Linked DNA regions of Bombyx mori. The protein of the gene in region 1 binds, or shares a complex with, the protein of each later gene. Links are inferred from orthologs where the notes say so. Each region holds a gene or a part of one and is shown on either strand. Other genes may lie near its edges. The genes, in order: probable ATP-dependent RNA helicase DDX46 and splicing factor 3A subunit 3.

Evidence for each region.
Region 2: probable ATP-dependent RNA helicase DDX46 (region 1) and splicing factor 3A subunit 3 share a complex: the UniProt entries of both Homo sapiens proteins name them as parts of the 17S U2 SnRNP complex. The link is inferred for Bombyx mori from reciprocal best matches to the Homo sapiens genes DDX46 and SF3A3.

The regions. Positions count from the first base shown.
Region 1 is NC_085109.1:10,027,517-10,032,139, forward strand, and holds the start of probable ATP-dependent RNA helicase DDX46, read left to right. Parts: upstream 1-1,555; 5' UTR 1,556-1,767; coding exon 1,768-1,781; intron 1,782-1,899; coding exon 1,900-2,127; intron 2,128-2,310; coding exon 2,311-2,452; intron 2,453-3,368; coding exon 3,369-3,558; intron 3,559-3,759; coding exon 3,760-3,869; intron 3,870-4,359; coding exon 4,360-4,486; intron 4,487-4,623. UniProt on the Homo sapiens protein: Component of the 17S U2 SnRNP complex of the spliceosome, a large ribonucleoprotein complex that removes introns from transcribed pre-mRNAs.
Region 2 is NC_085112.1:8,790,541-8,794,363, forward strand, and holds part of splicing factor 3A subunit 3, read right to left. Parts: intron 3,688-3,823; coding exon 3,495-3,687; intron 366-3,494; coding exon 164-365; intron 1-163. UniProt on the Homo sapiens protein: Component of the 17S U2 SnRNP complex of the spliceosome, a large ribonucleoprotein complex that removes introns from transcribed pre-mRNAs.

The DNA.
Region 1 (4,623 bases):
TACATTATTCGAGTCAATAGGTTTAAATTAGCAAAATAAGAAATTTAAAAGCGTTTCATATTGTAAATGTACTTACATGCAGTTTGCCTCTGAGCTCTCGTTCATTACGCATTTTAACATAAATTCTCTCATCTAAGCTAAGCCTTATCAAATCCAAAGGTTCTTTTACGGTCATAACAGCTACCTAAAATAATGAAATAAAAATAAAAGGTATTGAAACAATTTCGATGTTTTTAAATTTTTAAATCAAACACTTACATTTTCAGTATCGTCTGCCATTTCTAGATATTGTTATGAAAATAGCTTGTTTTATGTCTTGTTAAAGTAGTCGCTATTTTTAAATTGTATTTTCAATGATGTCGGTTGAATGTATTAGGTTATCTTTTGGTTTTCGTGTTTCGATTTGTACACAAAACATCCATGAATAGTGTTGTCTCGGTACTAAACTCTCTCTATTTTCAAATAGTCGATGATTTTTTTAAAGGTTTCAATTATCGACTTTTTACGTTTTTTAATTTTACTGCTGCTTAAATCTTGAACTTGAACCACCTTTGTGGAAATTAAATTTAAGATGAACAGTGATATTCACGTTACTCGCAAGCCAATATCTGCATAGCTTAAAGTCGATATCAACCGCTAAAGGCTGATGGTATGAGTCGAGTAGTAAGCTGTTGGATCATTAGATATAGAGTGGGACGTAATATCCGAACCACATTTTTTTTAAATACGGAATCGACGTTTAGCAGAATTTGTAAGATGCGTAAAGCTCAGATAATTCTGTCGCGAAACGTTCGAGGTTTGAAGAGTAGGTATATCTGTGTAGCAGTATTTTGAGACTTTCGCCACATTTATCAAAGTAGATGGTTAGATTAGCGTGTGGTGGGCCAAGAGATACTACTGTTAGGTTTTCATCCCATCGGAAAGTCAATTCAGCTCGATTGTAAAATTTGCAACGAATAGGCTTAGACAGTATTGGTTAAAAAAATTATATGAGTTAATTTTCTTAATAAACCGATTTTTGTCATTCGATTTGCTTGGTTGCAAAATGTTATATTTTGAAGATATGAAAATTTTAATCCAGGTAAATTTAGAAACTCAATCTAGCAATCTTTATCAACCTATTAAAAAGTCAAGGTTTTTTTTGGCGGGAACGCGAGGAGTGAAGTTGTGTGATTTGTTTTATTTTGTCTATTTAGTGTTTCTTCAGGTTTAAATGTATAATAACGGTGGTTTATTAACTGTTTAATGTCTGTGAAAGTGCACAAATGTGGGTAAATGAAATGAAGTCGCTGGACATAACATCTCGGGATCTTCCAGAAGGTCCACTGAAAAAAACTCAGCAAATTACCATCATTTTACTGAAATTATATTTTATCCCTTAGCATCTCATCTTCTTTCATTTAAATTTCATCCCAGCTGATTAAAGTCTCATATTAATTGTCTTTATTTCATTCCACTCTATATTATCATTTTTTATAAAAATAAAAATATAAATTAAAAGAAGACACGACTTAAAGGTCTTGGTTACCAGGTCATAAAATCCCTAAAAATAAATAAATTAAAAAGTCAACTGTCAAATGTAGAATCCGTGGATGCAAGCGAGCGCTTTGTGATTTTGTTATGCGTACTTTTATCTCATAGCAATCGAACCAAATTTCACAGCTCATTTTGTTTCAAGAATCTTTTATTAGTATTAAGTAAGGCACCGTTGATTTAGGCATGAGAAAAATAAAACGTGTAAAAATCTCTTTATATTTGCTTTAAAAAATGGTTAGGAGTGGGTGAGTGTCGATGTTTGTAAACGAACTACTTGAATCATTAACCTGTAAACGTTCTTGAAGCTTATTCAATATGTGCTAGCGTTCGAAAGTTTTCACAATACAATTTTGTTTCTTTTAGGAGAGACCGTGATAGGGAAAGGGATCGACGTAGATCTCGAAGTCGTTCTGACACACCGGATCGTAAACGAAGGAGGTCAAGATCAAGAAGTCGTGATCGGGGCTCGAAATCTTCAAAGAGGAAGCGCAGTCGTAGCAGAGATCGTGACTCTAAACGAGACCGAAGCCGAGAACGGGATCGCAGTAGGGAAAGAGATCGTAGTCGTGAGCGAGATCGGGACAGAAAAAGGTAAACTTTGAGTAATTAATAACCTCAAAATAAAAAGTTAAATATTTTAATTTAAGTCACAAGACTCTTTTGTTAGCGTTAGTACAGTTTATAAAATTATATTTATTCAAATAATACATTTTGTTAAAATGTTTTATTAAAGCTAAATTGAGGCGTGTTGCTAATTTATCTAAGTTCATTCAGTGATAAAAGAGATGATAAAAGAAATGGATCTAGTAAATCATCGAGAAAGAAGTCACCGGAGAAGGAAAGGGAGAGATCAAAATCAAAGGAAAAGAGTAGCAAAGCTGATTCTTCTGAATATAACCCGGGCTCTGTTGACAAGGTTTGTTTGTTAAGTTGTTGCTTATTTTCACAATAACACAGTTGAAACAACTGCTGAAATGTTTATTAAAATTGTTGAGTTCTAAGATACAATCTGGATAAAAACTTAATTTGACTGATACCCAGTGGGCTTTGAATAACAGAGAAACATAGGTGGCAATCTGGTATAATAGTGTTGGAAGTGATTAGTGAAGAAATATTTATTGGGCTATAAAAGCTGCAAATTTGTCAATGTATTGGTTTTAATACATAACTTCACAGTTAAAGTAAAAAACTTGATTTTTTTTTATGCTTTCACATCATCTACTTTGCATTTGCTTATGTACAATTTAAGGCTACATATTTATAAATGTATATTGTATTATGTAATAAGGAGAGTCATGCATTGTTGCTAAATAAATGAGACCCAAAAAATCGAAATCATATACAACAGATAGGTACAGCGTAAATAAGAAAATATAAAATATCTGTAAATTGTATGTTTGTACTGTATTGTACTGTATGAATTAGCAAATGTTATAAAGAGTCTGATTAGGTAAGAGTTTGAGATGATGCAGAAGCAGTTTGGCATTATATTATATCAACATTCAACTTTTAACTGAATATTTAGAATTTACGTATCAAAAATACATAATAACTACAAACATACATGCAATGAAATCTCTTTGTCAATGGAGTGCTGCTAATGTCGTAAAGTGATAATTCTCATTTGATCTTAGATGGCCCAATAAAACTTAGCCACTAACACATACTACGATTAGTATCCTTGTTGAGACAGGCAAGCATCTGAGGTGTGGTGTTAGAGGCTTTAGGTAGTTCTTTCACAAGAGCTTAATATCATATGGCAATTCATTGCCTGGTGTAATAAGCAGCAGAAGCCAAAACTTACTATTCATTTTATTTGATTATTTATGTAGGAAGAAGAGCAAAACCGCTTGGAAGCTGAAATGCAAAAACGTCGTGAACGCATAGAGAGATGGAGGGCTGAACGTAAACGTAAAGAAATCGAATCCGCTAAAAAAGAAGTTCAAAAAGGAAGCATTGTTACTAATATACAAATACCGACATCAAAGAAATGGTCACTTGAAGATGACTCTGGTGATGAAGGTCAGTAAAACAAAACCTAATCTATTCATCATTTACCAAAATTTAAGATTCACACACACATGGAAAACTTATTGGCTAAAAATTAAACGTTTTTTTTTTCATAATCTTGCATTAATGTGTGAAGAAAGTGATTTTTCTGAATACCTCTACTCAATATTTTGTGTAAAAAGAAACACATCATATGTTAAAATAATCTAACAGCTTTGCCAGGTGAAGATGCGGAAGGAAAAGAAAAAAACAATATAGGAGAAAAGAAAGAAGAAGAAGATGAAATTGATCCTTTGGATGCGTACATGCAAGAAGTGCAACAAGTAAGTTAATAGAGTTATTTTATTTGAAAAAATTGAAGTCGTCAGGAAGACGAAAAAGATACGATGTCTGGTGTACTTGTATCAACCAATGTGACGATGTCGATGTTTAAATCACGCTGGCAATTTTTTGACATATTCGGTTATAACATGTTCACGAATAATGTCCCCGATGAAAGAATAGCATTGTGTATTAAAAATGAAACTAGTAATATTTTTTTAAATAAGATATGCTGTCATTCATGATTAGATTGTGTTCCAGCATACTCCCAATTTTTGTCACAAGGTTGCATGTTTCAGTTAGAGAGATAGGTAAAACAAAACCTTAACTTTGTGATCTCTATAGGAACCACTTAACACCTAGTATGTCATGCCTTCAGTTGCAATGCAAAAAAAAAATGAGTACTTGTTTATACTATATAATAATATACTGTGTAATTCTTTACTGTTCATTTGAAAAATAATTGGAAACTAAAATCGTTTTGTTTTGTAGGAAGTGCGTAAAGTCAATCAAATGGACCAAGCCAAAGGAATTATTAGTGTTCCAACAACAGGTGGCACTGGCATTGTAATTCTTACTGGCACTGCCAAAAAAAAGGTCACTGAGCAGAAAAATAAGGGTAAGTAACCATATATATAAATAGATGAGGACAAAACAGTTATAGTAGAATTATTTTGTTGGTGCAGTTTGGGTCATAAAACATAGCCCGGCGATAAGTACTGTTTTCGCCTTTGTTAGTCACCCGATTTTCTTTTC
Region 2 (3,823 bases), on another chromosome or scaffold:
AATTTTAACACTGTTGTTTTTCGGAGGTGCTTAAATGATGAAGTTTATCAAAAGCAAATGCCGAATTGTAGAAATAAGCCTTAGTACAGTTGAGAAGGCAAGAAATACAGCTAAATTTGATGTGTACAAAAAGTTGTGAAACAAATTAAGAACGTTAACTTACAAGCAAGGGCATCTTCAATTTGTGTGACATTGGCAAAATGAGCTGTATTCGGTATTCCAAGACATCGCATTCCGTGAGCGTGTCTCCACTCCGCAAAATGTCTCTGAAACGCTTTCGGTCCCTTGTATGTATAGTTCCCGCAAATTTCGCAATTGTAGCTTATATTGAGACCGTGTAACTTGTATAACCAATATGGAATAGGCTGAAATACCATTCTTACATTTATTATTATGGAATATGTAAAAATTATTTATATCTTGTTTTGGAATCTTTTACAGTATATTCTCACTGATCCGGCACTTCACTAGACTGACATGTCCAATAATCTGGCACTCTCCGTCCACGCCTCCCTCGCCCCTCTACGCTTATGCGTATGTAATGCATCAGAAACAGAAGAAACAGGAGAATGAGATCCTGAAGTGATATTCTATCTATTGCCGATTGATTACAAAATCTATCAGAAAGAGGATTGAAGTTGAGTTGAGTGAAGAAGGGATCGAAGAAACAGAGCAAATTATGACAGATGTAGAAATATGCGAAGTAGTACAAGAAGAAGAAACCTTTAAATACAACTGTAAGAGTTAAACCAGATGAAGCATTTAATTGTTTCAATACCTGCATGACATGGGCAGAAGAAAGCGTCATTTCTGCCAAAGGTATTGTTATAATTCTTCTAAACATGCGAGAAGAGGTTGTTAAGCAAGGCAGTGCGTTTCCAGAGATCTTTTTTGCCACGTACCATCCGGCTATGGAATGAGCTCCCCTCCACGGTGTTTCCCGAGCGCTATGACATGTCCTTCTTCAAACGAGGCTTGTGGAGAGTATTAAGCGGTAGGCAGCAGCTTGGCTCTGCCCCTGGCATTGCTGAAGTCCATGAGCGACGGTAACCACTCACCATCAGGTGGGCCGTATGCTCATCTGCCTACAGGGGCAATAAAAAAAAAAAAAAATGATTTTTTCTCTATAATCCAGATTTAACCGAACATTCCATTAATCCAGCACCCTCTGGTTTTTAACAGTTTTTAACAGTACTGAATTAGTGAAATTATACTGTAATTACATTTGGCCAAAATATTTCAGCATCTACCGTTTATGCGATCTTATTAATGTCTATTTGTATACATACATACCTAGTCAGGTCATAAATTCTGTCACATGTTTAATGTAAAATAATTGAAACAATTTATTCATTATGTAACCATTCATATACCAAAATGAACTTAACAAAACATAGATTCTTATGACACTAAAGTTTATTCAAATTGACCTCCGTGATTTTGAATACAGGCCTTCAATCTGCGCGGCCAGTCGTCTATCGCAGCACGAACGAGGTCCATGTCAATATCGGCGGCTGCCTTAATCAAGGATGTCTTGAGTGACTCCAAATTGGGATGAGGCTTTGAGCACGCCTTTTCCTCCAAGTGTTGCCATATCTTGTAATCTAACGGATTCAAATCTGGACTGGAGGAGGGCCAGTCTTCGTGCCGGATGAAGTCGATTTCACGCGCCGCCAGCCAGTCTTGTGTGCTCTTCGCTCTATGAGCTGGCGCCGAATCTTGTTGGAATACCCAGTGCCTGTTATTGAACATGGTATGAGAAACAGGTTCCACAAGGTTCGTCAGGACTGTATTTTGATACACAACTGCATTCGTTTTTACACTTTTCTCACAAAAATGTACCTCTGTTAAGCCCCAATAAGAAACTCCCAACCATACCATGAGCGAGGATGGAAAATGACCTCGTTGGATACGCGGAATACGGTTGCTCGCTTCTTCACTACTGTGTGCGTACACCTTATCATTTTGTTTGTTGTAGCTCTCTTCTACGGTAAAAATTTTTTCATCCGAAAAAAGAATTTCCCGATATTTTTTTCCTGCGTACCGCTTCAACAAAGCGCGGCATCTCTTCAGTCTCAGGTCCATTAGACGAGCATTCAAACGATGTCCTGTTTTTCTTCGATATGCCCGAAGCCCTTTTTTTTTTTTTTTTTTAACGCTGGGGAATCCATTTACGGATACCCGGTCCGGGGGGGTAACGAACCGGGTTATGTCGGACTCCGGCGCCTCCTGAGAGGAAGAGGGGGACGAGAAGGTCCTCCACCTCCCCGAATTTCTCGCAAGAGACTACGCCTTGAAAAAGGCGCGCGAAGCACTTGCCCCGCAGAACGACTACCGACTAAACCCCATCGAGCTCCACCACACCGGCTACACCAGACATACGGTACCGCAGTGCGCGCCGAAAGTCTGCCTTCGCCGGTATCCGTCCTGATGATAAGACGGGATTTCATATCCGGGAAAATCCCGAAGGACGTCATTTCGGGAGATACACCGTGGGCGGCGCACAGGAGCCACCTTGCACCGCTCCACCACCGGACCGACAGTCGAGTACCGGGCGCCCCCGCACCCGCCACCTGATAGTCCCTACGGGGGCTGAGCGGGAGCTTCACGCCCGCGCCGGCCATCCCGCCTTCTGCGCTGAGGTGCTGAAGAGGGATCCCACTCCCTTTCACGCTCCTCAGCGTCACGGGACGCCATTACCAGGTCACAAAACCTGGCCATGGCCTCCCAATGCCCGAAGCCCTAAGTCTTCATTTAACACCCTTTTCACCGTGGTTCTGCTTAACCCCATCTGAAGGGCCAACAGTTTCTACTTACGTTTGGGATTTCTTTGAATTCGCGCCTTCACAGCTTTTATCACTGCTGGAGTCCTAACAGACCGAGGGCGACCACTTCTTGACCTGTCATCTACACTAGAGTCTTCATTGTATCGTTTGATGGTACGATAAACGAATCTTTTGGTTATATTCAAATTTTTCAGTATGTTAAAAATTTGAATTGGCGCGTAACCGCAACGATGCAACGCAATAACTGCAACACGGTCTTCTTTAAGCGTCCACTCCATATTTAAAAATGAGTAAAATTCTAAAAGTATACATTTTTATTTTCATGAACAAATCGAAATTCGAATTCAATAAACTTTTTTGTGGCCAGCATTCTAAAATAAAAGTTTTTACTGTGTGACAATACTTATGACCTGACTAGGTATTTATAAAATTTCGCCTGCATATTTACTTTCTAATTCTGTTGCAGAATTATGCAGTTAATAATTATGAGGTTTCAAAGAAGTTCATGCATATGTATTCAATGCATATTTATTTATAAAACATGAAACAAATCAGAACATTTGAACCTCAACCCCAGTCATAGTTGCATAATTTGATATGAATAGACGCGATGTCTTGCCCCATCAGCCTGTTATTTACTAATACATGAGTAATGTTTACATTCGAACTGTTTTTCACAACTTTAGCAAATAATAATCTAAAACTCACCTTTCCATCCCATCCCAGTGGCAAATTCTTAGGATTATATGGCACTTCATCATCATCTGAATCAAGGTCTGGTGCTGCAGAAGCATCACTTTCGTCACCGCTTTCGTCGCGACGTTCACCAGCAGCTCTTGCAGCACGACGCGTTACATTTTCAATAGTTGATGCTCGTGTACTACTTATTATAGTCGCGAACCTATGGAATTCAATCAAAATAACACCTTCTTATGTTAGTTTCTTTTTAGGGCAAAGAAAGCCTACACTTAATGTATTATCCTGTCTTGTATACACATTAAGCTTTTCCTCATGGCTAACCAAATCAATATCAATTG